Elephas maximus indicus: one gene and its partners. The protein of the gene in region 1 interacts with the protein of each later gene in a biochemical or structural test. Links are inferred from orthologs where the notes say so. Each region holds a gene or a part of one and is shown on either strand. Other genes may lie near its edges.

Region 1 (7,978 bases):
GCTGTGGTGGCTTGTGTGTTGCTGTGATGCTGGAAGATATGCCAGAAGTATTTCATATACCAGCAGGGTCACTCACAGCGGACAGGCTTCAGCAGAACTTCCAGACTAAGACAGGCCGGGAAGAAAGGCCTAGCAATTTACTTCTGAAAAACCAGCCAATAAAAACCCTGCGAGGCACAATAGTCACAACCGCAACCAACCATGGGGACGGTGCAGAACAGGGCAGCGTTTCAACCATTGGGCGTGGGGTCGCCATGAGTCAGGGGCCAACTGCCCAGCAGCTAACGACGACCACGGACCTGTTTTCCCACCAGACTGTGAGCCCTTGGAAAGTCAGTTTTTCCTCTGAGTTTCCAGCATCCAGCAGCATCTGGTCCGTATGGACGCAAGAAAACGTTAGATCACGTTGAGTTCAGAGGTGCGCCATCAAGTTCCTCGGGGGAAGACATTTCTCGCTGGGTTTTGGTTTCCTCGTCAGAAGACAAGATAACAAACCTTGCCTTGCCTAATTATGAACAAGCCCCTTTATTTCTTCAAATGTTTCCTGAGAATTTCCTAGCAGGGCCACTGTTGGGTCTTGGAAAAAAAAAACAGAACTGAGTAAGACGGCTGAGGACTCCCTGGGTAACACAACAGCTAAGAGCTTGGGGCTGCTGACCAAAATGCTCGAGTTTTGAGTCCACCCAGAGCTGCCTTAGAAGAAAGGCCTGGCAGTCTACTGTCAAAAAATCAGCACTGCAAACCCTACGGAGCTCGGTTCTACTCTGACACATGGGGGGGCACCATGAGTCGGGGTGACTTGGTGGCCGCTGGTTTAAGACCACCAGTCTTAGAGATCCTCTGATCCTGGGGCAGTGGCTAACGCGGCCAGAGTCACTTATCCTTCTAAAAAAAAACCTTCTAGGAAGGTTTAATTATAAACCGGCTAACATCCTTGGAGTGCCTAGGACCTTCCAGGTATCTTGCCAGACTCTTTACATGCGACAGCTTATTTCGGGGGTTAGTAAACATTTTCTGAAAAGGGTCAGAGAGTAAATACTTTCAATACTTTCAACTTTGTGAGCCATAAATGAGGTCCCTGTTGCCACAACTCAACTTTACCATTGTGGCGTGAAGGCAGCCACAGATAGCGTGCAAATGAACCGGCCTGGCCGTGGGTTTGGCCCTCGAGTCATACTTTGCTGAAGCCCTGCTTTGTTTCATCCTCACAAGCTAGAATGAACGCTATCACAACCCCCCACTACACAGAAGAAAAAACTAAGGCTTAGAAAGACAGGGAGGGGGCAGGGGTGGTTTGGTGGTAGAACTCTTGCCTTCCATGTGGGGGACCCTAGTTCAATTCCCAGCCCATGCGCCTCAGGCTCAGCCACCACTCGTCTGTCAGTGGAGGCTTGCATGGTGCTGTGGTGCCAAACAGGATTCGGCAGAGCTTCCAGACTAAGACAGACTAGGAAGAAAGGCCTGGCGACCAACTTTTGGAAATCAGCCAGTGAAAACCCTATGGATCGCAACGGTCCAATCCCCCTGGTGCATGGGGTCGCTATGAGTCGGAGGCCAGCTTGACAGCAACTAACAACAAAAGGTGGGGAGGGGGCCCCCAAAATCACCGAGCTAAGAAGTTACAAATCAAAGAGTTTTTAACCCAGGCAGTCTGAGTCCAGAGACTAAACTCTAAAAGCATTTTCCCTTTCCCACAAAAATGGGGGCACACATGAAACTTTGCACATAATTTGGGGGGTCCACAGACCCCCCTGAGAAGGCCAGGCTGGTGAAGAATCACTGATCTGCTTAACTTTGATACTGCCGTCATTTGGGGCCAGGTCATTCTTGGGGGTGAGGCCGTCCTGGTCACTGTGGCGTTCTGAGTGGTGTCCCTGCCCTCCACCCACTCCATACCAGGAGCACCTCCCCCAACCTGTGACAGCCACAAATGTCCCCTGACATGGCCTGGTGTCCCCTGGGGAGAAAGGCAAAATTACCCTGGTTGACAACCACTGTCTAGGGAAAGGAACAGCAGACAAAACAATCAGAGCCGGAAACAAACCAACAAAAAACCCAGGAAAATCATTCTGGTGCAGGGATGCAGACTGCACAAATATTACCAGATGGCACTCAATAACAAGAACAATCAATCTCTAATACGCTCTTACCAAGCGCCAAGCACCTGACTAGAGAGTATTTTATGAGTATTTAACCCACACAATGACCCCGTGGGACATCTACTTTTACAATCTCTATTTTAGAGAGAAAGATCCCGGGTAGTGGCGCAAATGGTTAAGTGCTCAACTACTAACTGAAAGGTTGGCAGTTCAAAACCACCAAGCAGCACTGTGGAAGAAAGGCCTGGCAATCCGCTTCTGTGAAGATTATTGCCAAGAAAACGCATGGAGCAGTTCCACTGTCACACAGGAGAGTGCCACGAGTTGGTACTGAGTTTTTTTTTAGAGAGGAGAGGAGGACTTGCCCAAGTTTACACAGCCAGCGAGCGGGTGATGCAGCTGGTTCTCAATGCCAGATTTTTCCTAACTCCAGCATAATACACAAAGACCCTAAATGTAAAATAAGACCTAACTCTCTGGACTAGCACTCCACCGTCACTCCTTCTATAAGGGCTTGAATGTTGCTGTGATGCTGGAAGCTATGCCCCTGGTATTTCAAATGCCAACAGAGTCACCCACGGTGGACAGGTTTCAGCAGAGCCTTCAGACTAAGATTAGGAAGAAAGGCCTGGCGATCTACTTCCAAAAATTGGTCAATTACAGCCTCATGGATCACAACAGAACACTGTCCGATGTAGTGCTGGAAGATGAGCCCTGTAGGATGGAAGGCACTTAAAATACACAGTGGCTGCAACCGTGGACTCCAGCAGCCCAACTACCATGAAGACGGTGCAAGACGGGGCAACCTTTCCTTCTGCTCTACGTGGGGTCACCACTGAGTCGGAGCCCACTCGAAGGCAGCAAACCACCACCACCCTTGGGAGCGCTCTCACTTGGTGCTGGCAGGTGGCTTTAACCCCCTCAAGAATCCTCCCGAGACAGGGACTGTGACTATGCCCGTTTTACAGAGGGGAAAACTGAGACTCCAAGAGATCCAACGGCTTGCCCAGGTCTCCCAGAGAGAAAGCGGCAGCGGCGGGGCTTGAGCGCCCACCAAGGGGTTCCCGATTCAAACGAACCGCGTTTCAGAGCAGGTAATGAGAACGATAACAGCAGCGAACACTTAGCCAGCGCCTACCGCGCCCCTCGTCCTCGCCATGGGCCTGCGAACCAGCATTTCCAGCCCCGGGGACCGGGACAGCGAGACGATGACAGGCAGGGCCGCCTCGAAGCCGCCCTGCCTCAGTTTCCCCTCTGCACCAACCACTCACAGACTCGCGTGCCGTGGCGACTCCGGCCCTAGATCGCTCGCTCGTTCCAGGCTCGGGAACCCCAGGAACCCCGAACCGAGGACTCCAACCCAGCCCGCTTCGTCGCGGACCCCCCCTCACCTCTCAGACAGTCGAGCCCCGACCCACCGACGGCTGCGCTTGCGCACCGCGGCGCCGCCCGGCCCCGCCCCTCGGCCGCGACGCCTGCGCAGAAGCAACCGGCTGTCGGCGGCATTCATCCTGCGCAGGCGCATTAATGATCGAGCAGGGCGTGGTCGGATGTGACGCGTTTTGGAGGCGGACTCAAGATGGTAGTTAGGGCAACTGACCTCTCTGACCGAATGGGGACGCATTTCAGGGCTTGCCCTTTAGAGCCGGGATAGAGCGGTGCATTGTGGGACGAAGGAGGACTCCAGCGAGACAGCCTAGCCGACCACGTGCTCCAAGCCGGCCACGTGGTGCAGCTGCGTTTGGACACCCCGTACCCCAGAACTTCACAGGCGCTAGATGAATGGGAGGAGTGTTACTCGCTAAGTTTGTTAATTTATTTCTCCACCCATCCACGCACTCACCCTAAAATGCATTCTTTCATTCACTCAATTCGTAAGACATAAAGGAGTACAGAGATATACATGCAAATACAGATATTTGTATTCGCTCAATAAATGTTAACTGCGAACCAACTATAAAGACCAACAAAGTGTCTGCTCTAATTGTTATTACCCACTGCCCTCCAGACTCATAGCGACACCATAAGGTTTCCAAGGCTGTTAATTTCTACAGAAGCTGACTGCCACATCTTCCTCCCACTTCCACCTCTCATGAAACCACTGACCTTTCCATCAGATCAGCAATCGATCGCTTTAATCACTGCGCCACCAATTACTTTGTGTTGTTTTTTTTTATTTTTTCAGAAGTAGATCATCAGGTCCTTCTACTAAGGCTCCTCTGGATGGACTCAAACTTCCAGCCTTCTGGTTAGCAGCTGAGTTTGTTTACCCAGGGACTTCATAAACGCGTAAGATAGTTCATAAGTAAACTAAAATTTCACTTAGTGACAAGCACGATGAAGAAAAAACGGGGTGCTGTGATTGTGACTGAAAACCCTGGTGGTGTAGTGGTTAAGAGCTACAGGTGCTAACCAAAAGGTCAGCAGTTTGAATTCACCAGGCACTCCTTGGAAACGTTATGGGACAGTTCTACTCTGTCCTATAGGATCGCTATGAGATGGCAATGGGTGTTTTTTGGGTAATTGTGATTGGGGAGCTAAATGTACTGGGATGGTTAGGGAAGGTCTCTCCTTTGGATACGGATTTGAAGGATGACAAAAGGCAGAGGGAAAGTGCTCAGGCACAGGTGTTGTAGAGAAAAGAGTCTCTAACTCTGTTAAAGTCAAAGAGATTTATTGAAGCCAATGAATCATTTGATTGGGAATCATGCGAAACTCAGAGTCTGAAGCTCAAGGAATCCAAGGGAGGGGGTGCACACAGTTATAGTGCCGTGGGAGGAACTACAAAGCACAATATTCTGGTTGGTTTATGGCGTGTCATGAATTGAGTTGTGTCCCCCCAAAATATCTGTCAACTTAGCTAGGTCATGATTCCCAGTATTGTATGATTGTCCACCGTTTTGTCATCTGATGTGATTTCCCTGTGTTGTTGATCCTATCACTATTATGTTCATGAGATGGGTTAGCAGCAGTTATACTGATGAAATCTACAAGATTAGATAGTGTCTTAAGCCAATCTCTTTTGAGATATAAAAGAGAGAAGCAAGCAGAGAGACAGGAGACCTCATACCACCAAGACAGCAGCTCCAACATCAGAGCCCGTCCTTTGGACCCGGGGTTCCTGAGCTGAGAAGCTCCTAGGCCAGAGGAAGATTAATGATAAGGACCTTCCTTCGGAGCCCACAGGGAGAAAAACCCTTTTCCTAGACCTGATGCCCTGAATTTGGACTTCTAGCCTACTAGACTGTGAGAGAATAAATTTCTCTTTGTTAAAGCCATCCCCTTATGGTATTTCTGTTATAGCAGCACTAGCTGACTAAGACACAGTGATTGAGGTCTGTCAAAGGCAGGACAAAATGAAGAATGATTTTTAACATTATTGGTTACGTTAATACAGCTGGAATACATTGATTGGCTAAAAGGCATAGTTACAAACAAGATAGGTGGTCTCAGATGGGGTCTCATGACTGTCACAAAACAATAGCATGACCACACTTCCAGGAACAGTTTGTTAAACACTACCTCTAACACAAAAGAGTTTTGATAAGGTTTGTTTATCCACATTCTTATACTGACCTCAAACAGAATCATTTCCTTAAAGATAGTGTTGGTTCCTAAGCAACGCAGGTGGATTCTGTGTTAGAGGTTACATTGAATCTTAGGATTAGTTCAGCCATTTTATTTTAGGTCAGCTGCCTCTTGAACCCTGGTGGCATAGTGGTTAAGTGCTACGGCTGCTAACCAATGGGTTGGCAGTTCGAATCTGCCAGGCGCTTCTTGGAAACTCTATGGGGCAGTTCTACTCTGTCTTACAGAGCTGCTACGAGTCGGAATCTACTCAATGGCACTGTTTTTTTTTTTTTTTTTTATCACAGGGAAGTGGGGGGACAAAGAATGAGTTAGAATCAAGCTTCGTGTGCTCAAGATATAGGTCCCCGGATGGCGAGAATGGTTTCAGCTTGGCTACTAATCCAAAAGTTGGTGGTTTGAACTCACCCGGCGGAGCTGCAGAAAAAAAGGCCTAGCGATTTGCTTCCATAAAGAGTACAGCCAAGAAAACCCTATGGAGCAGTTCTACTCTGACTGTCTGGTAAGGGTTTGGTTTCTTTTTTGGCCCAAGGGATTAAAAAAAAAAAAAAAAAAACTGTGGCTGGAGTTGAAAGAGTGAGAGGGTGGCATCTTTGTTATCCAGCGCTGATATAACAGAAATACCACAAGTGAGTGGCTTTAACAAACAGATTTATTTTCTCACAGTTTAGGAGGCTAGAAGTGTGAATTCAGGGTGTCGGCTATAGAAGGCTTTCTCTGTCAGCTTTGGGGGAAGCTCATTGTCTCATTATAGCTTCTGCCCCTCCATTCCTTGGTGATCTTCCTGTGGCCTGGTATCTATAGTCCCCCATCTCTGCTTGCTTGTTGCTTGCTTACTAATCTACTCTTTTATGTCTCAAAAGAGATTAATACACACCCTACACTACTACAAACCTTTGCCATTGGGTTGATTCTGACTCATAGCGACCCTATAGAACAGAGCAAAACTGCCCTATAGAATTTCCAAGGAGAAGCTGGTAGATTTGAACTGCCAACCTTTTGGTTAACAGCCTGGGCTCTTAACCACTGTGCCATCAGGGATTTCCTACAGTAACACTGCCTCACTAACATGACAAGGAAAACCCATGGCCAAATGGGATTATAACTACAGGCATAGGGGTTAGGCTCTGCAACACGTATTTTTGAGGAACACGATTCAGTTCATTACAGTGAGTGACAGGAAATTCTCTGTGATGACTGACAACTGACCACCAGCATCCGGCTAAAGTTACCAGAGTGTTCTCTCAATTGGCTTCTATCCTATTTAAATCATAGGTGTGATTAATACCCTCGATTACTTTCATTTCTTTTGCAGAATAAAAAGGGTAGGTTTTTTTTTTTTTTTTTGCCATTTAATTCTAGTAATTTTGCTTTTTCCGTGGTGCCTGGTGCAGCTCTACTCTGAAACAGGGGGTTGCCACAAGTAGGAATGGACTAGACAGCAACTTTTTCTTTTTTAGAAGCTGGGTAGGTTTCTGGCAGTGTGATAACATACAAAAACGTGAGGATCTTCCATGAGGGAGCAGACTTGTAAATCTACCTGAATACACAGTTATAAGTTAGAAAGGATCAGACCCATTGCTATCAAGTTGATTCTGACTCACAGTGACCCCGGAGGGTAGAGTAGATCTGCTCTATAGAGTTTTTAAAGCTATAATCTTCACAGAAGCACATTGCCACATCTTCCTCCCAAAGAGCAGCTGGTGGGTTTGAACTGGCGACTTTTCAGTTACCAGCCGAGTGCTTAACCATTGTGCCACCAGGGCATCTTAGAAAGGAGACAAGCACAAATTAATACTGAGTTTTAGGCTTTAAAAGAGCTATCAATATGGAGTCAAATTGACAACAGCAACTCAAAACAGTACGTAGGAACCTTAGGGGGGCAATGAGTTTATACTGATGGGGAAGGAACAATTTCCAAAAGGAGGGTGAGAATGGTTGCACAACTTGAAGAATGTAACCTACGTTACTGAATTGCATGTGTAGAAATTATTTAATTAGTATATGTTCTGCTATGTATATTCCCAACAACAACAAAAATCAAATAACTTATTTAAAAAAAGAAAAAAATACTGGCGCTAGAAGCGCACGTGAAGAGCTGCCGCCAAAAAAGCCTCATGGCCAGACGCTCAGAGGTTCCACCCCCACGTGCGGTTTCCATGGACACGGCCAGCGGCTCCGGGGGTGGAGCCCGAGGCTCCGCCCCTCCCGCTTCTGAGATCCAATGAGGAGCTGGCAGGGTCATGGCGTAAGCTAGGCGTGAGTCCGCGGGGGCCTGCCGCCAGGACGTG
Region 2 (7,652 bases), on another chromosome or scaffold:
ATCATATAGATCACCTCTAAGCCATGCTTCCGGAGCCGTTCCACAAAGGCCGAGTTAGCAACTTGGTCCTTGGTTTCACCTGAAATAACGTGAACAGTTACTTGCTCTTTCCTGCTGTCTAGCCCGGTCAGATGCTCAGCAGATTTAAGCACACAGGCAGCGGCCGGCTCAAGAAATCAGCATCTCCTGTACAGCAACACCAACTGTGCTCACTGATATGTGGTGCCACGTGGGGAGCAAACACCCCACGGGCCACCTATGGGGTTACCAAAACAAAGTGATGGGACGCTAACCTTTACTGTTCCTTACCAGTGATGTAGTAAATGTGTTTCTGGTTCTCCTTCATTCGGGTGCAGTAGTCCTTGAGGGAAACCATCTCATCACCTGAAGCCGATGTGTAGTATCTTAACAGCTCAGAGAGCTTCTTCCGATTTTGAGAGTCTTCGTGTATCCCAAGCTGAAAGACGACACAAGTGTTAGTTTTAAGAAAACTTCCCCTATGTTAAAAAAAAAAAAAAACTGAGAACGTGGGAAACTACTTTGAAAAACGCTAACGGGTCAAACGTGTTTACCAACCTTAATGTTTTTAGAGAACTGCTCGTAAAACTTTTTGTAGTTCTCTTTATCTTCTGCCAGTTCAGTGAAGAGTTCTAAGCACTTTTTGACCAAGTTCTTCCTGATAACTTTCAAAATTTTGCTTTGTTGCAACATCTCACGGGAAATATTTAGAGGGAGATCCTCAGAGTCCACCACGCCTCTAATGAAATCTGGGGGGAGAAAAAAAAGACCAAACACACTCAAGTACCAAACTGACAAATACGTAAACGTGTGAATATAAACACGTTTTTTCCATATATTAAAACTTAAAGAACTTGGGACCTGACAACTTCTGTACATCAGTGACCACCCTTCATCTCCAACCATACTTACTCAGGTACTCAGGAATTAGCTCCTCACAGTTATCCATGATGAAAACTCTGCGTACATACAATTTAATATTGTTCTTTTTCTTTCTGTTTTCAAACAGGTCAAACGGAGCACGTCTTGGGACAAAGAGAAGGGCTCTGAATTCTAGCTGTCCTTCAACTGAGAAATGCTGCAATTACAACAAACACAACTCACTAAAAATGCCAATGCACAACGCAAGTGACTTTCACTCAAAGCTCCATTACCCCAGCAGGTAGACTGACAGCTACATCAACCAAAAGCACTTTGGAGAAAGGAAAAAGTTCACAGTACCTGACCTTCCAATTTTAGACAGACTATCTAGCAGGGGCAGATTAGTTTTGAAGCACTCAGCCCTCACTCACCTTCACAGCCAAGTGATCTTCCCAGTCATTGGTCAAGCTCTTATAAAATTCTCCATATTCTTCATTGGTAATATCATCAGGATTTCTGGTCCAAATGGGCTTTGTTTTGTTGAGTACCTCTTGGTCGATGTACTTTTCCTTTATCTTCTTTTTCTTCTTCTTGTCACCATCCTTTTTCTCTTCTTCCTCTTCATCAGAACCAACATCTTCTATTTCAGGCTTATCATCGGACTCCTTTTCTTCTTTTTCTTTCTCTTCCTCTTTCTCTTCCTTTTCTTCAGCCTCATCATCACTCACTTCTTTATCTCGTTCTTTCTCCACCTCAAAAAGACATGAAATCAACATTATCCCTGCATTCCAGAACTAAAAAACAGGCTAAAAAGAATAAAACCCAAGTTAGCTAACCAAACTGAGAAACGCTAAGTAGCCAAAAACTTTTCATCAGTACTTAATTATCTACTTAATAGCTCTAAATACTTTTGACAGGACTGAGTAAACTGTTGCTTAGTCTCCAAAAAAGCTTCAAATTAATCTAGAAAATGGTACTAGGCCTTCTCCTCATCAACAAACGTTGAGAACTAAAAGTCAATGATCTACACGGAGACATTCACTTTGCAGCTATCTAGGAACTTACAAAGAGAGTGATCGGATAGCCAATAAACTGGGAATGTTTCTTCACTATCTCCTTCATTCTTCTCTCCTCCAAGTACTCGGTCTGGTCTTCTTTCAGATGCAGAATAACCTTGGTTCCACGGCCGATGGGTTCACCTTTAAGTGAACAATAAGACAAAGGGACTCAACTTTAATCTTTCAGCCCAATTACAAAAAAAATTAACTCAGCTCTTAATGTCAGTCAAGAAGAATGACCATAGCTAATCCCCCAATTATGACTACGAAGCAGGATACCATTATTACAATAAGCCTCCCACAGCAGTTAAGCACCTTGCTCTAAATAACCAGCACACCAGACACTAGTAAGTGCTCCCTAGTTGGCGCCTGACTACATGGGGCAAAAAGCATTCACAAATTTCACAGCAACCTCTGGATGCTACAGTACCTACAGTACCCCCCAACCCCCGAGATAAACCCACCCACCAGGTGCCTACCTGTGTCTGTCCTCACTGTGAAGGACCCTCCTGCCGAAGACTCCCATGCATACTGTTCATCATCATTATGTTTGGTGATCACGGTCACTTTCTCAGCAACCAAATACGCAGAATAAAACCCCACACCGAACTGGCCAATCATGGAGATGTCTGCACCAGCCTGCAAAGCTTCCATGAACGCTTTGGTACCCGACTTGGCGATGGTACCAAGATTATTGATCAAGTCGGCCTTGGTCATCCCAATTCCAGTGTCCACAATCGTGAGGGTTCGGTCTTGCTTGTTGGGAATGAGATCAATATGTAGCTCTTTCCCAGAATCCAGCTTACTGGGATCCGTCAAGCTTTCGTATCTGATTTTGTCCAGAGCCTATTCATCAAAAAGACGTTATCGTCAAACACACTGCCCCCAAAATGCGGACATTTTCGCTAAAACAATAACCAAACTGTGGCCTGAAAAGAGACTTACATCTGATGAATTTGAAATCAGCTCCCTCAGAAAGATTTCTTTGTTGGAGTAGAATGTATTGATGATCAAGGACATCAACTGAGCGATCTCGGCCTGGAAGGCGAACGTCTCCACCTCCTCCTCCTCCATGGGCTGGTCTTGGGTCTGGGTCTCCTCGGGCATCTGGGGAGGACACGGCGCAGCGTGAACACCGCACTACGGGCGCGGCCGGGTCCCCGCCGTCCGGCGGGCGTTGCTGGCGCCCCGTTTCAGCGAGATCTGGGGAGACCGGGCGCCGGGGCCGGCTGACAAAGGATGACCTCATTCCGAGCGGGGAGCTGCGGGCGGCGTGTGCGCGCTCGCGGAGGCCGCTTCGGGCAACGGGCGCCGCTCCCGGCCGTGGGGACGCCGCCATGAGCCCCGCCGGGGGTCCCCGCGACGCGGCCGGCGGAGGAGCGGCCGGACGGGCGCCCCCGAGAAAGGATCCCGCGGCCGGCGGCCCCTCCCCCACCGCGCTCCAGAACATTCGCGGACCCGGCCGGCCGGGGGAGGCCACGCAGGCCGCCCCGAAACGTGGGCCGAGGGGCCGCGGCTGGACTCGCCCGGAGGCCCCCCGCCCCCCAGGGACCCCCAAACGCCCCCTCACCTTGGCGAAAGGACGGCACGGGCTCCGAGACACAGCGGCACCAGGACGCAGAAGCAACTGGCGCGCCGCCCCCGCGCCTCCCTTATATAGACGCGGGCCCGCCCAGCGCGCGGCGCCTTTTCCAGAAGCCTCCCGAACCTTCCGGAAGAACCCTCCCCAACCGCCGCCGCGGCCGCGCGCCCACGCATGCGCTCTGGCCCGCAGCCCCTCCCCGGCCCCTCCGTTGGCGGACCGCCGCGCCGCCCCAGTGCGCCTGCGCGGCCCGGAAAGCTCGGGCACGGCTCGGCGCTTCCGGGGCCCGGCCGCCCGCCCGGGCGCTCCGCCCCCCGCCGCCGGGCGCCCTCCCCGAAACCCCTCCCCCGCCGTCCCCGGGCGCCCTCCCCGGACCCCCCCCCGCCGTCCCCGGGCGCCCTCCCCGGAACCCCCCCCGCCGTCCCCGGCGCCCCGTTTCTCCCCCAAAGCTGTCCCATGGGCTCCGCCCCCACCTCGGCCACGCGACCTGCTGGTTTCCCGCCTGCCCGCGCCCTCCGAGCCCGGGGCCGTGGGCCCGAATAATGAGCGCGCGTGGCCATGTTGTAAATTAGAAAGTCCCCGGTTGTCTACACTTCGGACCCCTCAGGGTCTGCAGCCGCCGGGGCAGCGCTTTGGTGGCCGGGTTAGGGGCCTGGGGCAGCGATTGAGGGGCCTGTTCGGGGCTTAGGGGTCTTGTGCTGGGTTTGGGGGCACTGGAACCCGGGGTCTGGCGCCCCCGCCCCGCTGGTTCGCCTTCTGGGGTGTCGTTATACTGGGGGCCAGGGCTCGAGCTGCAGCAGCGGGTGGGTGGTTCGGGGGGCTGGCCCAGGATGGGGCGTAAGTGAGGGGTGACGGGGCAGGCGGACAGTGGATACGAGGCAGACTGGCCCCCGTTTCTGACGCTCACTAGAAGGAAGCCCGGGAGGAGAGATCATTTTTGGACAAGAGGCGGCCCTCGGGGGTCCGGTGGCGGGTGATCCTGTGGCCTAGGAGGGAGCGAGGAGCGCCGAAGCCGGTCATTCGGGTGGTCTGCAGCACCCATTGCCACAGGGATCCCCGAAGACAGGCCTCCGCTGGGATTTCGGGGCTCCTTTCCCACCGGAAGGTCAGTGGGCTGCCCTGACCGCCTGTCCGTATGCCCCACTATGCGCAGGGGGAGGAGCGAGGAGCCTTGGTTAAATGACTAGCGTGAGGGCCCCAGCCCCATTTGCAGTCCTCTGTAAAAGGTGTTAAGACCACATCCTTCACACTTCGGGGTTCCTTCCGTCTGGAATTCTGGGATTTAGTGAACAAATTCATGTTCACCCAGCTAATCGTTACGTCATGATTTTTTTTTTTTTTTTTTTAACTTAATAAGGTGTATCCTTGCGAAGTACTTAACTTACGGCTTGGGTGATTAACTTACCCCAAAAGCCAATTTTTAAATGGGAATTCCCCAAGTGTTTTGAACAATGCCAGATCAGAGTTGAAAGAATCTTGGGGAGGTAGGTGCCTTAGACATTGTCCAGGTCAACACCTTAGTCTTGCCCAGGACACAGGGTTGGTGTCCAAGCACCCCTACCGGCCCACTTCCCTGCCTCAGTCCCCTCCCTCACAAACGCATCCCTTTTCCTGGGTTCTTTGTTCCTGGCTTTTCCCACTATTGACCCTCTTCTATTTCTTATATTTGAGGGCCCCGTACAACCCTCAGAAACCCTGGTGGTGTAGTGGTTAAGTGCTATGGCTGCTAACCAAAGGGTCGGCAGTTTGAATCCGCCAGGCGCTCCTTGGAAACTATGGGGTAGTTCTACTCTGTCCTATAGGGTTGCTATAAGTCGGAATCGACTCGACGGCACTGGTTTGTTTTTTGTTTTTTTTTAAGTTTATACAATCCTCTGGAAGCTCCTTACGTGTGAAGTGTGTTTAACCCAGGTCCAATGGGTGTGGGTGCGAACCACCTGTTAGGTTAGCTTGTTTACAAAGTTCACTCTCTCCACTTCCTTATCTCTAGGGAAACAGCCTTTCCTGCTAAACTCAGCCTTTCCTGAAGCAGGGTTTTCAAACCGGAGTAGAACTGCCCCATAGGGTTTCCAAGGACTGGTGGTGTATTCCAACTGCCGACTTTTTGGTTAGCAGCTGTGTGCTCTTAACCATTGCGCCACCAGGGGGAACTTTCTTTATAAGGTAGTTCTATTCTGTCCTATAGGGTTGCTGTAAGTTAGAATTGACTAGACAGTAATGGGTTTGGTTTTTTGGGTCTTAATCTTTACCAGAGCTCTGCTGGGTGGGTTTGAACCGCCAACCCTTAGGTTAGTAGCTGAAGACAAACCACTTGTGTCACCCACGGACCTGTGTGAGTGCAGTGTCTGTTATATGCACCTATGTATGCGTTGATAATGGGTCTAAAGTACTTGAGGCAAGTCTCACCATCTTTGCTTCTGAGGAGCATTCTGGCTGTACTTCTTCCGAGACCTGTTTGTTCTTCTGGCAGTCCATGGTATATTCAGTATTCTTCTCCAACACTAATTCACCAGCATCAATTCTTCTTGGCTCTTCCTTATTTCCTTACTCATCGTCCAGCTTTCGCATGCATATAAGGCGATTGAAAATAACCATGGCTTGGGTCAGGTGCACCTTAGTCCTTAAAGTGACATCTTTGTTGTTTTTTTAATGCTTTGGGTCTTTTGCAGTAGGTTTGCCCAGTGCAATATGATGTTTGATTTCTTCGCTGCTGCTTCCGTGGGCGTTGATTGTGAATCCAAGTAAAATGAAATCCTTGACAACTTCAGTATTTTCTCTGGTTATCATGATGTTGCTTATTGATCCAGTTATGAGGATTTTTGTTTTCTTTATGTTGAGGTGTAACCCATATTGGAGGGTATAGTCTTTAATCTTTGTCAGTAAGACATGTTATCTTGTTAAGTAGAGGGACAGTGAAAACGAGGAAGACCCTCAATGAGATGGATCGATACCGAGGCTCCAACAATGGGCTCAAACATAGGACTGATTGTGAGGATGGTGCAGGCACGGGCAGTGTTTCATTCTGTTGAGCATAGAGTTGCTATGATGACTCAGAACCAGCTTGAAGGCACCTAACAACATACACGTGCTGGGTCATGCTGTAAATGCATGTCTTACCTCGGGATGTGTTTGAATGTTCTAGACATGTTTTCCATGCAGCCTGGGCCGGGGAGCAAGGGAGGATTGAGAGGGAGAGGAAGCAGAAGGGGTGAGGGGTGGTTGGTATCTGTAGGCTCCTGTTGCTACTTTCACCGGTGCAGAGCGTTGACCACCCGGTGAGCCCTGCCTCCACCCATCCTGTCCTGTCACCCCCCGCACCTGGCACCTGGGCCCCTCCTGACATGGAGACTTGCTCGCCCTTTCTTCCCATCCAGCTTCTGCCATTGCCCAGGAGGTTTAAGATTTCTTAGAGATGAACTGTTCACCTCCCTGGCCCTGAAGTTATTTGACCCCATTTGTGGCTACCGGTTGTTGGGGGGGGGGGTCACTTGCCCTGCCGCCCACTCAACAAACTCACCCCGAGGTCACTTCCTGGATCTCATTGTCACCAGGAACCATTGCTTCCTTGCAAGTCCAACTTTAAATTTCTCCCTCCTTGCAAACCTCTGGCCCTTCCAGCTCTCTCCCCACTCAGCTGCTAAATAAAGGATGTTTCAAGCCCTGACTTCCTGTCTCAGAATCATTCCACACTGCTGACTGCCCTTCTCCGCTTGAGTCACTCTGCGTTGGGTTTTCACATCCTTTAGCAGGCCTTGGGGCAGAGCGCCCCCAGGTGGTCCTGGGCCGCTGTGCAGGTGATTCACCGTAGAGCTTTGGCCAGGATTCTAGCTCCACACCTGCATGCAGAGCTCATGAGCACCCCATACCTGACTGGCCCTCTCCCAGGGCCCCTAGCCAGGTGACTGCCCGCCACCTTCCAGAACCTCATGCATCTCCACAGGGGAGCCGGCACTGAGCTCTGCCATGCTCTCCATCTTCCTCCCCCACCCTGTCCCCACAACCACCTGCTCACCCCTGGATGACCTCTGCAGCCAGGGAGAGGGTCTAGAACTCCTATCTGACCCCATCAGTCCTTCCTCCATACCCCCTCCTCCAAAATCCTCACTCCCAAGAGAAAGGCACAGCCCCCAACC
Region 3 (7,890 bases), on another chromosome or scaffold:
ATAGGGGAGACACTGGAGTTTGCAGTTCCACTTTAGTTAGGAGTTTGCTCACTCAGCAATAAATTGTGTCACACCAAATCCTAAATATACCACTACAAAGTGAGAGTTACCACCACTCAGTGTCCTTCCTGACGTCGTCCAGCTGGGGGTTTAGTGGGAGTGTTGAAATGTGCAGAGTAGGATTGATATCTGGAGACAAACCCCAGAATGAGGACTGGAAAATCATCTTTATTATTCTCGAAAGGGAGTTGGAAGTCTCTAGCTAGTCTCCTCCCACCCACCACCATCACAGCTCCCACAGTATCCGTCTGGGGGCACAGATGAAGCCACAGGTCAGTTATTGGACAGCTCACAGGCCTCTGGCAGGAGGGAGGAAAAAAAAAAAGATGGAAAGGAAGAACAGGGAGAGAAGCAAAATTGGTGGTAATGAAGAAGGGAAGAATGCGTTCCTTTATTCCGCCATGTTCCTTTTTTCCAAAAAAGGATCTCTGAGGACTTTTTCCCTCCATGACTGACCCTTTACCCATGCAAACTCAGAAACCCCTCTTTTGAGTAGCCCAGAGTCCAGCCTGGGTTCCTCAAGTGACATCACAGCCCTTGGCCACCTGCCTCTGGTGCCATCATAGCCTATGACACAAATGGGAGTGTCAACATAGCCATTCTGATGATGTCAGCTTTGGCCATGTCGTCCTATGATGTCACATGAGCCCCTTTCATCCAGCACTCCCAGAAGACTTGCTCAGTCCTAGTCCTCTACTTTAGGACTTTAACCCCTCACCTTGATCCCTGGGCATCAGTAAGAAAGCCTTGGAATCCATGCAGGAGGTCAGGGACTGGAATTCCTCCACACATTTCTCGGGAGGGTGTGGTGAGCGATCTAGAAGGGCAGAGCAGGGTCAGGCTAGTTGAGCCCCTGCTCCTCAGCACAGCCCCTGGTGAGGGCCTCATGGAAGCACTCAACCCTCCCTGGAGTCATATCATAGGGCCCAGAGTGAGGGGCCCTCCTGCCCTCTCTGATCCTTCCTGCTTTGCACCCCACTCACTATAGAGGAGGAAGCGCTGGTAGCCCTGGCCCATCTCTTTCAGCATGATTCCACCTGGGCATGAACTGGAGAAGAGCTCGGTTTTCATGTCAGGACGGCCTGTGAGGGTGGGTGGGAGGAGGGGGCGAGGAGAGAGATGCAAAACCAAGCAAGCCTAGGGGACTTGGGGAGGGTCAGGGGACTTGGGGAACCAACCTTCAGTTCTGAGATGAGTGCTTTCCTCAGTCAGGTGGTAGGTCCATTTCCGGGGCACACAGAGCCCATTTTTCCTGCATAGGTGGTAGTGGCATGGAGGAGAAACCGAGTGACACCCCGGCCACACAGCATCTGCCTCCATTTATTCCATCTTATTCCTCCTTGAAGCCTGGATCTCCTTGGGTTTCAGGCTACCAAGGGATGGTTAGGTCCATCTCTCTCTGTCAGAGGGAAACTAATACAGCTTTTGAACCAAGTGGGCCAAGAACAGTGAATGTATCAGCCAAGAGCACAGCTCTTGGTGGTGGGTGCTCACACTTTGGTCAGAGACTGCACCCACTGGTGCCTCTGCCTCCTCATCACTCACGTTCGGATGGTAGCATGAAGCTGGAGCTGTATCGGGGTAGAGGCAGCAGCCATGTTGAAGACAATGTTGTCCACAGGGTCAAAAGTTGCCAATTCTTCCCTGGTGGGAGCTGCCCCTGCGATAAAGTACCACCGGCCAAGGTGGGGCTCTGGGAACTGGAGAGACAATGAGGGGAGCAAAAGAGGGTGGGTCCCATAACAGGATCCATTCAACCTCTTCATCAGCCAGTAGGAGAAGACTTAGGGGTAGGGTGTGGGCTGTTTTCCTCTTTCTAATTGGGTAATGGATCTATCACACAGAGTCATCAATGACATTTCCCCTTTGCTCCTCCCCAATCAACCTGGCTAACCAAGCCCACTCCCAATTCTGCCATGTCTCCACATCGATGACTACAGTCCTAGTATTTTTCTTATTCTTGCTTTCATCATCCCAACATTTATACCCTCTTCCTACTCTCCTTTCCCAACATGGCTTCTAGTCATCCTAGGCCACCCAGCTGAGTCCCTGAGAGCCTCTATCATAGGCTTCCCTCATTCCCAGTCTGTACCTCTTTCCCATCCATTCCTAGAGTTGTCAGTTGACTGTGCTCAGGGCACTGGTAGATGGAGTTAAGGAGAATTCCATAGAGGTAGAGCAGAGCTGCCCAAATTTGGTGGAACATCTTCAGGCAGGAGGGAGCCGATGCCCTGTGTGGGGTGGCTGGTGCCTTAACTGCTCTCTCCCCTGCTGGCTGCTCAGTCTACTCTACTCCCAGCCCCCTTGCCTTGACCCTTGACCCTTTCACCTGCTAATGAGTAACTTCAACCTTGTTTTCCAACCCAAGTCTGGATTTGGACCTTCCTCCCCCTCCTCTAGATGCAGCCACTCCACAGTATACCCTGGTATGTTCAGGGTCTCTCGGGAGTTATGAGAGCTTGGGTTTTCAATCCGCATCTGAGCTGGATATCTGCTATGTTGTGCAGCAGTGAAGTGGGGTTGCTTTCATTCCTTCACTTAGCAACCTGTTTTGAGTCCCATTTGTTTGCCAGGAACTGGCTAAGCCCTGGGGACATAAGGATGGATAAGACATAGTCCCTGGCCTTGAAGAAGTCTGGGGAAAACCAGCTGTACAAACAAATCATTGCAATACAACCTGATAAGTGCTTTAGAGCAGGTATGAACCAGGTACTGGGGTGGGATGGGTGGGAGACTTTCTCTCTGCAGGAATTTGTAATTGGGGAAACTGTATCTTTGTAAAAGTTTGCTGACAAAATGGGTTCATTCACTGACCTTTATTGCTAAGCAAGAGGCTATATAATCTAACGGGTAAGAGAAAAGACTTTGGTGTTAGGAGGACCTGGGTTCAACCCCCAACTCTAGTTATTAGACCTTGAGCAATTTTATTAATCTCTGTGCCTGTTTCTTCATCTGTAAAATGGGCACATATGAATTTCATAGGGTTAAATGAGATGATATACATAAAGACCAGCAAACGCCGGCATGTGGTAAGCTCAAAGTAAATTACTAACCATAATTAATGGTAATGTCTGCAAGAAGTAGTAATTAAATAGTGCCAAGTGGGTGGTGCAGAGTTAATGCAATGAGAGGTGGGGCTTCTCTATAACACGCAGACTGCAAAAAAAAAAAAAATTGTCCTCAGCAATGAGGGTTGCTGTGGGATTGTGATTTAGTTAAAAAAAAAGAAACAAAAAATAATCTGGGTGATGGGTATATGAGTGTTCATTATACTATTCTACTTGGGTATGTTTGAAACTTTTTATAGTAAAAAAAAAAAAAAAAATACAATTTATTGGGGTAGCAAAGTGTAAGTGCTGGAGCCGGAGTCTGGCAGGCCTAGGACTGATTGTCAGTTCTGCCACTTATGTTCGCCTAGGTGTACTCACCTATAAAACAGATGTAATATCTCAGACGAAAAATTTACTGTGACCACAGTACGTGAAATTTTAGTATATTGCTTGACACTAAGTGCTCACTAGACAGATCTTATTAGACCTCTTCATTTGGGACTTGGGTATGTAAAAACTATAAATTTTGGAAAAGCACCCCCTGAGGCAGGCATCTCAGCAACAAGGGGTTTAGCTGGACGGGTCGTACCGTCGCAGGGCCGAAGACCCTGCCCTTGGGGGAAGGGCAGAGAGGAGCAATAACTCAGGCAGCCCTGGCCTGCCAAAACCGTTTGGGTCAGAGTTTCGTCTTTCGGTCCCATCTGACTCCATTTGCCACAATTCCCAAACTTGGACGGGTTTCTTGACAAAATTCCCGAAAGGTAGGGCAGCATCCTTAACTTTCCGAAAGGATGGCGTGTCCCCTCGGCCGCGAAGCCCACGGTAAGGAACATGGCGCCCGGACCCCACAAAATGCCCACCGGATAGAACTGAGGACCGACGAACGATAGGACCTCACGCAACAGAACGGACAATACGCGAGTCGCCACCAACCGCCTGCGGAAAGGTAACTTGCTGAGGCGCCGAAGGGCGCAGCGAGGTCTACACTGACTGGAAGGCAGGGTTTTAGGTGGCCAGAGCAGTGCCGCCTGAAATTCTCTGCCTGCCAGGACTTTAAAATAGATTAAATGAGGCATAGTCTCAAATACTCAAACTTCAAGAGCCATGCAACAGTCCAAAGCGTCTCTCCAGGCAGTCGTACAGTTCCAGATAGTAATTTATTTTCAGGCATTTATCGTGGCCACCTCAACCTTTGATCGCTCAAACGCACGAACATGAGAAGCGGGGGGTGGGGACGTGCTTAAGGACGTACGCATGCGTACTGCAACTCACGCAGGCGCAGTACGGTCCCCCGGGCGACGGCCGTGGCGGATCCTCGGGGTGCTCGGCTCCTTCCCATCTAGGCCGCCCCCGGCCCGTCTCGCCCCCAGGGATCCATTCCGTTGGGGGCCGCGGACTTTCTCGTCGTGCCCCACAAAAGGAAAGTTTGGGGACCTGGGGGGAGCCGGAAGTACCGCCTTGCGATCCCCAAATACTATCGGGGAAACGGAAGTGGCCGTCGGTGGCAGGTTGGGAAGACCGGAAGTGACGGTACCTTGGAGAAGTCGGGGGTGGAGCTGCGGGGAAGTGTGTATGTGAGAGTGTGTGTGTGTTTGTATGTGTGTTTGGCTGTATGTCGATTGTGCCGCTCTGCTGGATCGCCGAGGGAAGGCGGAAGACGGGGGGCTATCAGCTAGCCGGTCCCGCCCCCCGTGAGTGTCTGCCGTCTGTCGTGACTTAGGCGGGTTCGATGGGCGTGGCGCGCGTGCGCGAAGCTATTTTCTCCGCAGTGTCTGGCGCGACCCCCGCTCTCGCAGTGTCCCAGGGTTTGCCGATCCCTAGGGCCCTTGTCCTATTGCGACCGGTGATGACACTGGTCTCGTGCTTCCTCCCCTGCTTTCTAATCCGACTGGCCCTCGTTATTGTGATTGGCGTCTTGGAGCCCCTCCCACCTCCCGTCCTCCAGCTCCCTTTGCCGTCGATCCCTTGCCCTTTGTGTTTCTCTGCCCCGGAATCGGAAGGGGGATGGGGGCGGGTGTGAGTGCGAGTGCTTGTGTGGGAGAAACTTTTTAGATATTGGGGCGGGGACTCAGGCTGGGGAGGCTTCCGGGTATATAAAATCTGCTCCAGGCTACAGCGGATCTCCCTCCATTCTTCCCTAGAGAACTGTCGGCCATGGAACCCAATGATAGTACCAGCACCACTATGGAGGAGCCTGACAGCCTGGAGGTGCTGGTGAAGACCTTGGACTCTCAGACTCGGACCTTTATTGTGGGGGCCCAGGTGAGACCCTGTTGCTGTTGGAAGACATTGATTAGCTTTTTCTTATAGGCTCCTTAGCCTGAGGGAAGAACCTGATTTTCTCGTCCCCCAAATTTTCTGACATTGATTTGTTTGTTGGTATTTTATACAAAACGTTTCTGGTGTTTCTCGTTGAATGAGAAGGTAGAGTTTCTGATGAGTGAGGCACATTTTCTGCCTTACTCTTTTTCTTTAGAACTCATTGCAGAGGGAAATACAGAGGAAGGGGCCATCTGTATCCCATCATTGTAGGTGATCGTCAGCCCAAAGGGGCAGCCATAGCTCAAACAACACACGGACCCAAAACAGAAGTGTGCTTTAAGAACAAAAATTGGCCAGGTGTATACCGTGTCTTTAAGGCTAGAAATCAGAGCTAATAATGAATGTAGAGCTCATATAGACTGCTGGGTGGAATTATGAATGTGGCATACTTTTAATTTCTTGAGTTTAATATCACGGATACAGCTACCTGTGTTTTTACTCCGGTGATACTTGGAGACAAAATTGTGACTGAGTTGGTTCATGGGTGTTTAAAACATTGTACTCCATGAGTATTTAAGAAAACCACGTAGATTTTTGAGGTTAGATGTCACGTAAACATTTTGGTGTTTCCTAGAGTTGTTTAGTTATGAAAAATGTTTTGTTTTTTGTTTCCTTCTTGCTTACTTCTTGGTTGGATCTTCCCTTCTTAACCTTCACCCATCTTCTTTGTCATTTCTCTTATTTTTGAGATTACAGGGTTGTCTGTGGTAAAGAAACTTCTGGTATCATTTTGTGTTTCGGGAAGGGTGATCCCCTCTGGCATCTTGAGACACACGTTCCCTTGGGAGTCAAGCATAAAAAGAGAGAAAGGAATGTCAGTTGGTTTTTCTGTTTTTCAGCTATGTAATTCTTTTCTGGGCATATAACCTGAGCTTATCTGAGTTTGTTGTCTGTGTCTTGATATATTTTGTCTGTATCTGTTCTCAGAAATTTGCATGGTAACTATCTCACAGTCAACATAGGTAGTGATTTTATTACGGTTTTTGCTCCTTATCTGGGCATGAGTCAGTTGTCACTCCTCTGTTCCTTCTTCCTCCCTCCATTTCCTGATTCCTATTCTTATCTTTTCCTCCTTGCAGATGAATGTAAAGGAGTTTAAGGAACACATTGCTGCCTCTGTCAGCATCCCCTCTGAGAAACAAAGGCTCATCTACCAGGGCCGTGTTCTGCAGGATGATAAGAAGCTCCAGGAATACAGTAAGGGGGTGGGGGATGGCAACTCAGAGGTTGAAGCTGGTGTGCAGAGTGATGTGCTGACATTATGGCTTTACCTGATGTTTTGGTGTGTGTCTATCTTTTTGCACCACAGATGTTGGAGGAAAGGTTATCCATCTGGTGGAACGGGCTCCTCCTCAGACTCAACTCCCTTCTTCTGGGGCATCTTCTGGGACAGGGTCTCCCTCTGCTACCCATGGTGGGGGACCCCCACCTGGTACTCGGGGTCCTGGGGCCTCTGTTCATGACCGGAATGCGAACAGCTATGTCATGGTTGGAACCTTCAATCTTCCTGTAAGCTTGTGTTCCACTTGGGAGGGTTTTTTTGGGTAAGGGTAGATTTGGTTGTGGTAGTAGCAGGGCGCTTGTAAGACAGGCGTCTTAGTCTATAGATTGAGTTTGGAGGCTCCTTTGGTCTGATATTGGCCTCAATCTTTGAAGGGAAAGGGGGCGGGGCTCCAGAGAATGAGTTGAAAGTATGGGGGCCTTAGTATTTGGCTTCTCCCAGAGCAACTTCACTTACCCTTTCCCCAGAGTGACGGCTCTGCTGTGGATGTTCACATCAACATGGAACAGGCCCCGATTCAGGTATCACGGGGCCTGGGAGGGTCAGGGAAGGGGATCTGGGAGAAGGAGGCCTTGAGGTGGGGTGGAGATGGCTGGGACCTCGTTTAGTAGGCGGTGGAGCTCATGGCTTCATCTCAGACCTGCCCTGATCATCCCTTCTCTTGCCATAGAGTGAGCCCCGGGTACGGCTGGTGATGGCTCAGCACATGATCAGGGATATACAGACTTTGCTATCCCGGATGGAGGTAAGCAGGCAGGGCTGGCTAGTGTGTGTCTGTCTCTCTCTGTGCATCCTCTTTCTGTCATCCTGGGGATGGGGGCATGACTGGCTATATCCACTGCTTCCCTAATCTGGTCTCTTTTTTGCAGTCTTCATTCTTTCAAGCAGAAAAAGTATCTTTGTGGGGCTATCTTGTCCCTGCTAGTCTTCTTGGCATCTAATATCTGGGGAGTTTGTTTCAGACTTTTTAGATAATTCTGACGGTCTCTGTTTGTTCCATTAAAAAAAGGTTCCGCCTATTTTAGTTTATTTATTACTTTTAACATCAGAACGTTTTAACTCCGTTAGTTTGAATTGCAGCTGTAATTTGTCGCCTGTTCTTCTTTTGTCCTGGAGATACAAAAACTAGTCTGTACTTTTTGTTAGTAGCTTATTTACGAATCTTATAAATATTTA
Region 4 (6,761 bases), on another chromosome or scaffold:
GTGGGCGGGGCCCTGGCGGGCCGAGCTCGCAGGCGTCCGGCTGGCTGGGCAGGCGCTGGCGTCGAGCTCCGCGGGCGCGGCAGGTGAGAGCCTCAGGCCGGGAAGGGTCGGGCAGGAGGTGGCCTGTGGCCTCTGGCCCAGCCCGGTTGCGCGCTGGCTCCAGCGCCAGGGGCCGGCGGGGAAGGACCGGACGCCGCGCATTCGCTAGGCCTGGCGTGGCCGTGCGTCCTGGGGGTCAGGCGAGGTTTCCTTTGCCCTCGGGGCCACCCGGGAGGCCCCCAACCTGCCGGCTGCGGGACGGCCGCGCGCTCCTTCCCTCCCTGGTTTGCGCCCACGAGTGAGAAGCAGCTCTGCTCATGGAAAATGAGACAACTTCCGGACTTCCAGGTAGGGAGGAGCCCTGAGACCATCACTGCCAACTAGCCCTCAACACTGAAAACCCGTGTGGACAAAGCCGTCCGGGGTCGAGATCCATACCCCGCCCTGGGGTGCATTCTGGTCAAACTCTTCCGGCCCTGCAGCAGAAATGGTTTAGGGTCTGAGCTGAACCTCTGTTGCGGTGACTTAAAGCTGGTAGCTGTATTGGTGTATTGGGAAGACGGGGGCCTGGGAGCCTTTATCTTTTTCCTCTAAATCCCTCCAGTTTCCTTCTCATGCCCCCATCTCTGTGTTCCTGCATCCCTCTTTTCTGGTGGGACGCAAGGCTGGACCAAGGCCTCCAGGGTAAGTGCCTGAAGCTCCCAAACCAGCAGAGCCCATGTCATCCTGGGGGACGCTTTTCCAAGGACCAGTCTTTTGCCTAAGCTGCCCTCCACTTCCCTCTGTACCCAGACTGGTGGGGTGGGGGGGTGAGGAAGGGGAAGCAAGGGCCAAACACTACTAGGAACTAGAGAAGCCAGTGGCTCTGCCAAGGTGTGAAGCAACCAGAAGTAGCGATGCAAAACTGCTGTGTTGCCCCAGTTGTAGCAGGTGATGCAACAATATTCACCATGAGGCACCCTTCACCCCAGTGCACTCACAGACACACTGGTAGTGAGAGATGCTGGTGGGGGCACATGTGGGGGTGGGAGACTAGCCTCCGAGCACAGCTTTCCAAATATGAGGTTGCGACTCCAGTAGCCATATTTGGAGACTGCCAGAGGAGTAGGAGCTCTGTCCAGAGGAGGGGAAGCTCCTCAGCAGACATGTGACCCTATTTGACCCCTTCCTGCTGCTTCTTCCAGCAAGTTCCTTGGGGGAAGGGGACCTGCTCCTCCTCAGGACTCCCTTCTCACCACTGCCAGCAGGCAGGGCAGGCCAGGTAGTCATGCCAGCCCCTTTCCCAACAGAGCACTGGTGGCAGACAAAAGCCTCTGGGGCCTTCCACCTGCCCACACTGTTCTGCTGGCCTCTGTGCCTAGCCTGAGGCACTCCAACTCCCTGGCCTGTTCTCAAGCGCTCCCAGATCAGGCTCAGTCAGCACCCTTTGCTCTCCTCAGGCGGGCCTCCTGGTCATCCCCAAGCAGTGTTTCGGGATCACATCCAGTTGTGGTATCACAGCAAGCCCACTGTCACTGTGTTTCGGAGCCCATGGGGATTAAACAGGCCTTGTATGTGGTGCTAGTGGTGACAGGCCTGGGGGTGGCTCTCCTCGAACCCACTGGAATCGGGGCATCTCTACGCTGCCCCTGGAGGGGCAGAGAGGGCATGTCCAGGGAAATTAGTAGTTATCAGCGGCTGACAGTAACTCATATCTGTAGCTGGACCCTCTGGGCAAGGGATGGGGGGCCACACTAGCATGTGGGAAACTTGAGGCAGCTGTGTTGGGGGAGGGGACAGCCGAATGGCACTTAAGGGCCAGCATCAAGCATTGCCCTTCTGTTCCTGGGCTTGACGCAAGAGGCTCTGCTAAGGCTTCCAGATCCCTATGCTACCACTCCCAGAGGGCCAAGTCTCACAGGCTCATGCTGCTGTCCGTCACCAGCCTCCTCTCTGTGTCCTTTCTCTCCTCAGGGAGAGCTCTGCCATCCAGGAAAGCAGCCCAGTACCTGGACTTGCCCATGGACTGTTCTCAGGACCAGCCGACGGTACAGGCTGGGGAGCCCTCCTAAGCTGCAGAGAACCCTGGTGCATGGTCCTTCAGGAGAAGCCATGGTGTTAGAGAGGCCTGGCCTGGGCAGGGTGGGTGGCTGCCCAGGCCCCCTCAGTATGCTTCAGGCTGCCTTGCTTCTTGCCAGCCTGCCATGGAGAGTCCGAGGAACAGCCAGTGGCAACCTCAGCACAGCTCTGGGCCACACTGTACCACTGATGAGGGCCCACTACCTGAGCATTGGGGACGGCTCAGTGATGGAGTTTGAGTTCCCCGAGGAGAGTGAAGGCATCATCGTGATCTCAAGCCAGTACCCGGCTCAGAGCAATGGGACTAGGCTTGGCCCCACGCTCAGGGTCACCTCCCTGGACACAGCGGTGCTGACCATCAAGAACGTGAGTGCCGTAAGCTGGGGTGGTGGGGGTGGCTTTGTGGTGAGCATCCACTCTGGCCTGGCAGGGCTGGCACCCCTCCACCTGCAGCTCATGGACCTGCATAAGGCCCAGCCCCTGCTGATCGAGGAACGGAGTGATTTCTCCATCAAGGTCTTGCCTGCTGAAGACGCGCCAGCCACCCTCAGTGCTGACCTGGCCCACTTCTCAGAGAACCCAATACTCTACCTGCTCCTGCCTCTCATTTTCGTCAACAAGTGTTCGTTCGGGTGCAAAGTGGAGCTCGAGGTTCTGAAGGGGTTCCTGCACAGCCCCCAGCCCATGCTGCTGGGCCTCCTGGGTCAGTTCCTGGTCATGCCCTTCTATGCATTCCTGATGGCCAAGGTCTTCATGCTGCCCAAGGCCCTGGCCCTGGGCCTCATCATCACCTGCTCTTCGCCCGGGGGTGGCGGGAGCTACCTCTTCAGCCTCCTCCTTGGAGGAGATGTCACCCTTGCCATTTCCATGACTTTCATCTCCACGGTGGCTGCCACTGGCTTCCTGCCACTGTCCTCAGCTATTTACAGCCACCTTCTCAGCATCCATGAAACCCTTCACGTGCCCATCTCCAAGATCCTGGGGACGCTGCTGTTCATTGCCATTCCAATAGCAGCTGGTGTGGTGATCAAGTCCAAGCTCCCCAGGTTCTCCCAGCTGCTGCTGCAGGTCATCAAGCCCTTCAGCTTTGTGCTCCTCCTGGGTGGCCTCTTTCTGGCCTACCGCATGGGCATCTTCATCCTGGCGGGCGTCAGGTTCCCCATCGTGCTGGTGGGCCTCACAGTGCCCCTGGTGGGCCTTTTGGTGGGCTACTGCCTGGCCACATGTCTGAAGCTGCCTGTGGCTCAGCGGCGAACGGTCAGCATTGAGGTCGGGGTGCAGAACAGCCTGCTGGCCTTGGCCATGCTGCAGCTGTCCTTCCGCCACCTCCAAGCTGACTTTGCCTCCCAGGCCCCCTTCATTGTGGCACTGAGTGGCACCTCAGAGATGCTGGCTTTGGTCATGGGCCACTTCATCTATAGCAGCCTGTTCCCAGTTCACTGAGGCTCCGGGCCAAGCTTCTACCCCCCTCCCCACTCTCCGCAGTTCTCGCGTACCAAAGGCCTTCAGTGCTCATGCACTATGCACTTGGAAAATCCAGGCTTATTTTTTGTACTGATTTTGTATTCTTCAGCTTTCATTGCCAAAGAGGCCATGCTGAGTTAGGTAGGTGGGCACTGCCCAGAAATATATTTCAATAAAAGAGAGAAGCAAGTTTGGGTCCCTTCCAGTCTCTGCCCTTTGGGGCCTGGGGGTGGGAGTGAGGTAAGAAGAGTGTGGCTGGGGAGGTGTGGGCAAGAGTGGAGGGCCAACTTGGGTGACACCCTGCACCACGTGTGCTTGGGGGAGTTGGAAAGGAGGCTTCGTCCAGGTCTGTGGTTTATGAGCTTCAGGCTCTTTTTCTGTCAGCCCCCCACCCTCATGCCATCCTGTGAGAGGTGGGCCTCTCTCTGCTCTAGAATATGAGCGCCAGGGGGGATGAGGGCAGAGCGGGGCTACCCTGCCTGCTCTGAGCACAGCAGTTGGTTTTTCTGCAGCCAGACTAAAAGGAAGGTGGGACAAAACCGTCAGACAGGGGAGCAAGTGTGGACAGGACTTGTGGACACCTGTCCCCTCCCTGGCTGGGCTCACTGAGAGGCAGACTCTAGGTTTGCTACTGAGCTACTCCACCAGCAGTCGGAGCGTCTGGAGGGCCTGAAGTTCCACGGGGCGAGCTTACTCCCAGCCATTCCTTCTCCCAAGCCCCATCTCCCAGATGAAGCAAACTTGGCCAACTCATTCCCCTTTTCCACCCTGGCATACAGTACTGGCTGGCTGGCGTCAGCCTAGCTTCCCCGCACGGTAGCGGGGTGGAGGAGGAGGGCGGAGATCCGGCAGTCTGGACCGGCCCTGGGCGTGGGCAAAGCCAGACACCAGAGGAACTCCTCCTCCCGGAGTGGCAGAGGGTGGAGCGGGGCGCGCTGGCCGGAGGGGGCGGGGCGAGGAGGGGAGGCGGGGCGTGAGGGCCGGGGGCGGGGCAAGCGCGGAGGGGGCGGGCTAGGGTGGGGCGCACAGGGCGGTTCCGGCGCGCGCCCGGGGCGGTGGCGGTGGCGCGCGGCGGGGGGCCGTTGGGGTGCGCGTCAGTCGAAGTGGACACTGCCGCCGCCGCCGCCGCCGCCGCCGCCGCCGCCGCCGCCGCCGCCGCCATGCAGCTGACGGTGAAGGCGCTCCAGGGCCGAGAGTGCATCTTGCAGGTAGTGTCGCCAGGCCCGGTCCACCCTGCCCCACTCGTGCACTCACCGCCTTCAGGCGCGGGGACGGGAAGGGACCAGGGGCGGCGCCGGCTCGGGGAGGGGACAGGGCAGGTCGGCCAGCCGGGGCGGGGAGGCCTGGAGAGCTGAGTCCTGGAGGGGCCTGCGAGGGCTTCACAGCCCAGCGAACTGCAGGCTCAACCCCTGCCTCCCAAACTCGGTCCGCTCAGGTGTCAGAGGACGAGATGGTGTCCTCACTGAAGCTTCTGGTCTCCGAGCAACTGAACGTCCCTGTGCGCCAGCAGCGGCTGCTGTTCAAGGGCAAAGCCCTGGCAGGTACCAGGGGAGTGGAGACGCCCAGGGAGCCCCGCAGGAAGGCGGGGGTGGGGTGTCGAGAATGAGACTGGTGGCAGTGTGACGCTCCACAGCGAGGCGGCTATCAGTGCTGCCCGCACAGAGGGAGCCGACACACCGGCAGCAAGACACACTGCAGTGCCCTTGCTTGGGCTCACTTCCCTGGGCAACTACAGCAGCTGGAGGTAATGAACTTCATCAATTTCTCCTTGGCAGATGGAAAACGACTTTCAGATTACAGCATTGGCCCCAATTCCAAGCTCAACCTAGTGGTCAAGCCTCTGGAGAAGGTGTTACTGGACCAAGGCACTGCTCGGAGGCAGGCAGAGGTCCAGCCCCGACCACTAGCTCCACCCTCAGAGACTTGGCAGCTGATCGCCAAAGTTCTGGGCCGACACTTCAGCTCAGCAGATGCCAACAGGGTCCAGGAACAACTCCAGCGGGTGAGAATGTAGCCCCATAAGCCCAAACCTCCTCTGCCACTCCAGTGCCCCCTGCTCCAGCCTCTGCTGACTGCCCCCCCCCCCCCAGCCCAAATCCTCCTGGCCTTCTCTCCTCAGGAGTACGAGAGGTCCCTGAGCCGCCTGACGATGGATGACATTGAACGCTTGGCAAGCCGCTTCCTGAACCCTGAAGTGACCGACGCTACGGAGAAGGGGCTCTCCAAATAAGATCCTTGGCATGTGGGAGGAAGCATGGCTGCATGTTGCATTAAATGTGTTCTCGTAATGTTAACAAAATAAAAACAGCTGACTGGTACTGGCTCTTGCTAGGTGCCAGTCACTGTCAAAGCACTTGACCTGGGTTCACTCACCAACCCCTCACAAAAGTGTGACAACACCGGCTCATACCAGTGAAGGGGATGGGGGCAGAATCTGAGTCCAGCCACCTTCTAGAAGTGCCTCACAGTGGAGCAGGGCAAGTGGTTGTTTACAACAGTTACAAGGGCTGAGCTGTGGTGTTTCATGGGTAGCCTACTGAGAGTAAATTCTCCATCGACTCCCTCCCAGGCCTGAAAGGGGAGGCAGCTGATGCCTGGGGCTCAGTCCTGCCACCTGCCCTCTACTCAGCTTCACAGGAGCTGATGTGACACATGTCCTGGCATATGACAGCCAGCCTTGGGGCCTTCCTCAGAGCCGCTGCAACCCATGTGCTCTGATGAAGGAAAAGTAGATCGGGGCTCTGTGGTGTGACTTGGGGCATGTGCCTGTGCCATGCTGGGCCCCAGCCATCAGCTCTGCTCAGTGAGGGCCACTCCTCCAATCTGAGTCCATCTTCCTTCAACCTCACCCCAGCCCAGCAGGGGGGAATCTCTGCAGCAGTGCTTCCCCCTGGGTTTGATAAACTACTGAGGCCAAAAAGGAAGCAATGGCCAAGCATGGACCAGAGACGGGGTGTCCTGGCCCTTCATGTCACGGCTCTCCTCTGTCTCCTCCCAGAAGGGGTCAGTTCTCGCCCATGAGGGGTGACAGGTGACTTGCTTGAGGACACTCATCACAGCACGGAAGGTGCACGTGTGCAGGGCCTTCCCCTTTCCACGCCCCTCCTCCCCTGAAGAAGCGGGGACTGGGTGGCACCGGTTTCTCTCTCCTTCACCTTGCCCTGTCCAAGAGTGCAGAAGGTCATCTAAGCCCCGTTCCT

The links.
Region 2: the proteins of SGTA (region 1) and HSP90AA1 form a complex in vitro, tested with the Homo sapiens proteins (2 studies listed by BioGRID, with this or other methods). The link is inferred for Elephas maximus indicus from reciprocal best matches to the Homo sapiens genes SGTA and HSP90AA1.
Region 3: the proteins of SGTA (region 1) and BAG6 form a complex in vitro, tested with the Homo sapiens proteins (4 studies listed by BioGRID, with this or other methods). The link is inferred for Elephas maximus indicus from reciprocal best matches to the Homo sapiens genes SGTA and BAG6.
Region 4: the proteins of SGTA (region 1) and UBL4A form a complex in vitro, tested with the Homo sapiens proteins (3 studies listed by BioGRID, with this or other methods). The link is inferred for Elephas maximus indicus from reciprocal best matches to the Homo sapiens genes SGTA and UBL4A.

What each region holds. Positions count from the first base shown.
Region 1 is NC_064821.1:3,524,080-3,532,057, forward strand, and holds the start of SGTA (small glutamine-rich tetratricopeptide repeat-containing protein alpha), read right to left. Parts: upstream 3,568-7,978; 5' UTR 3,491-3,567; intron 3,478-3,490; exon of another isoform or gene 3,371-3,477; intron 1-3,370. UniProt on the Homo sapiens protein: Co-chaperone that binds misfolded and hydrophobic patches-containing client proteins in the cytosol. Mediates their targeting to the endoplasmic reticulum but also regulates their sorting to the proteasome when targeting fails.
Region 2 is NC_064828.1:111,071,841-111,079,492, reverse strand, and holds the start of HSP90AA1 (heat shock protein HSP 90-alpha), read right to left. Parts: upstream 3,619-7,652; 5' UTR 3,508-3,618; intron 3,045-3,507; coding exon 2,883-3,044; intron 2,784-2,882; coding exon 2,417-2,783; intron 2,079-2,416; coding exon 1,945-2,078; intron 1,632-1,944; coding exon 1,311-1,631; intron 1,097-1,310; coding exon 931-1,096; intron 768-930; coding exon 577-767; intron 458-576; coding exon 310-457; intron 80-309; coding exon 1-79. UniProt on the Homo sapiens protein: Molecular chaperone that promotes the maturation, structural maintenance and proper regulation of specific target proteins involved for instance in cell cycle control and signal transduction.
Region 3 is NC_064819.1:93,182,437-93,190,326, reverse strand, and holds the start of BAG6 (large proline-rich protein BAG6), read left to right. Parts: upstream 1-4,686; 5' UTR 4,687-4,706; coding exon 4,707-4,801; intron 4,802-5,251; coding exon 5,252-5,372; intron 5,373-6,511; coding exon 6,512-6,629; intron 6,630-6,741; coding exon 6,742-6,941; intron 6,942-7,181; coding exon 7,182-7,235; intron 7,236-7,384; coding exon 7,385-7,459; intron 7,460-7,890. Other genes in the region: APOM (apolipoprotein M), read right to left, coding at 334-359, 779-877, 1,044-1,142, 1,239-1,312, 1,606-1,760, 2,153-2,266. UniProt on the Homo sapiens protein: ATP-independent molecular chaperone preventing the aggregation of misfolded and hydrophobic patches-containing proteins.
Region 4 is NC_064846.1:1,934,978-1,941,738, forward strand, and holds UBL4A (ubiquitin-like protein 4A), read left to right. Parts: upstream 1-4,628; 5' UTR 4,629-4,721; coding exon 4,722-4,769; intron 4,770-4,996; coding exon 4,997-5,102; intron 5,103-5,336; coding exon 5,337-5,563; intron 5,564-5,680; coding exon 5,681-5,791; 3' UTR 5,792-5,930; downstream 5,931-6,761. Other genes in the region: SLC10A3 (P3 protein), read left to right, coding at 357-387, 644-723, 1,993-3,540. UniProt on the Homo sapiens protein: As part of a cytosolic protein quality control complex, the BAG6/BAT3 complex, maintains misfolded and hydrophobic patches-containing proteins in a soluble state and participates in their proper delivery to the endoplasmic reticulum or alternatively can promote their sorting to the proteasome where they undergo degradation.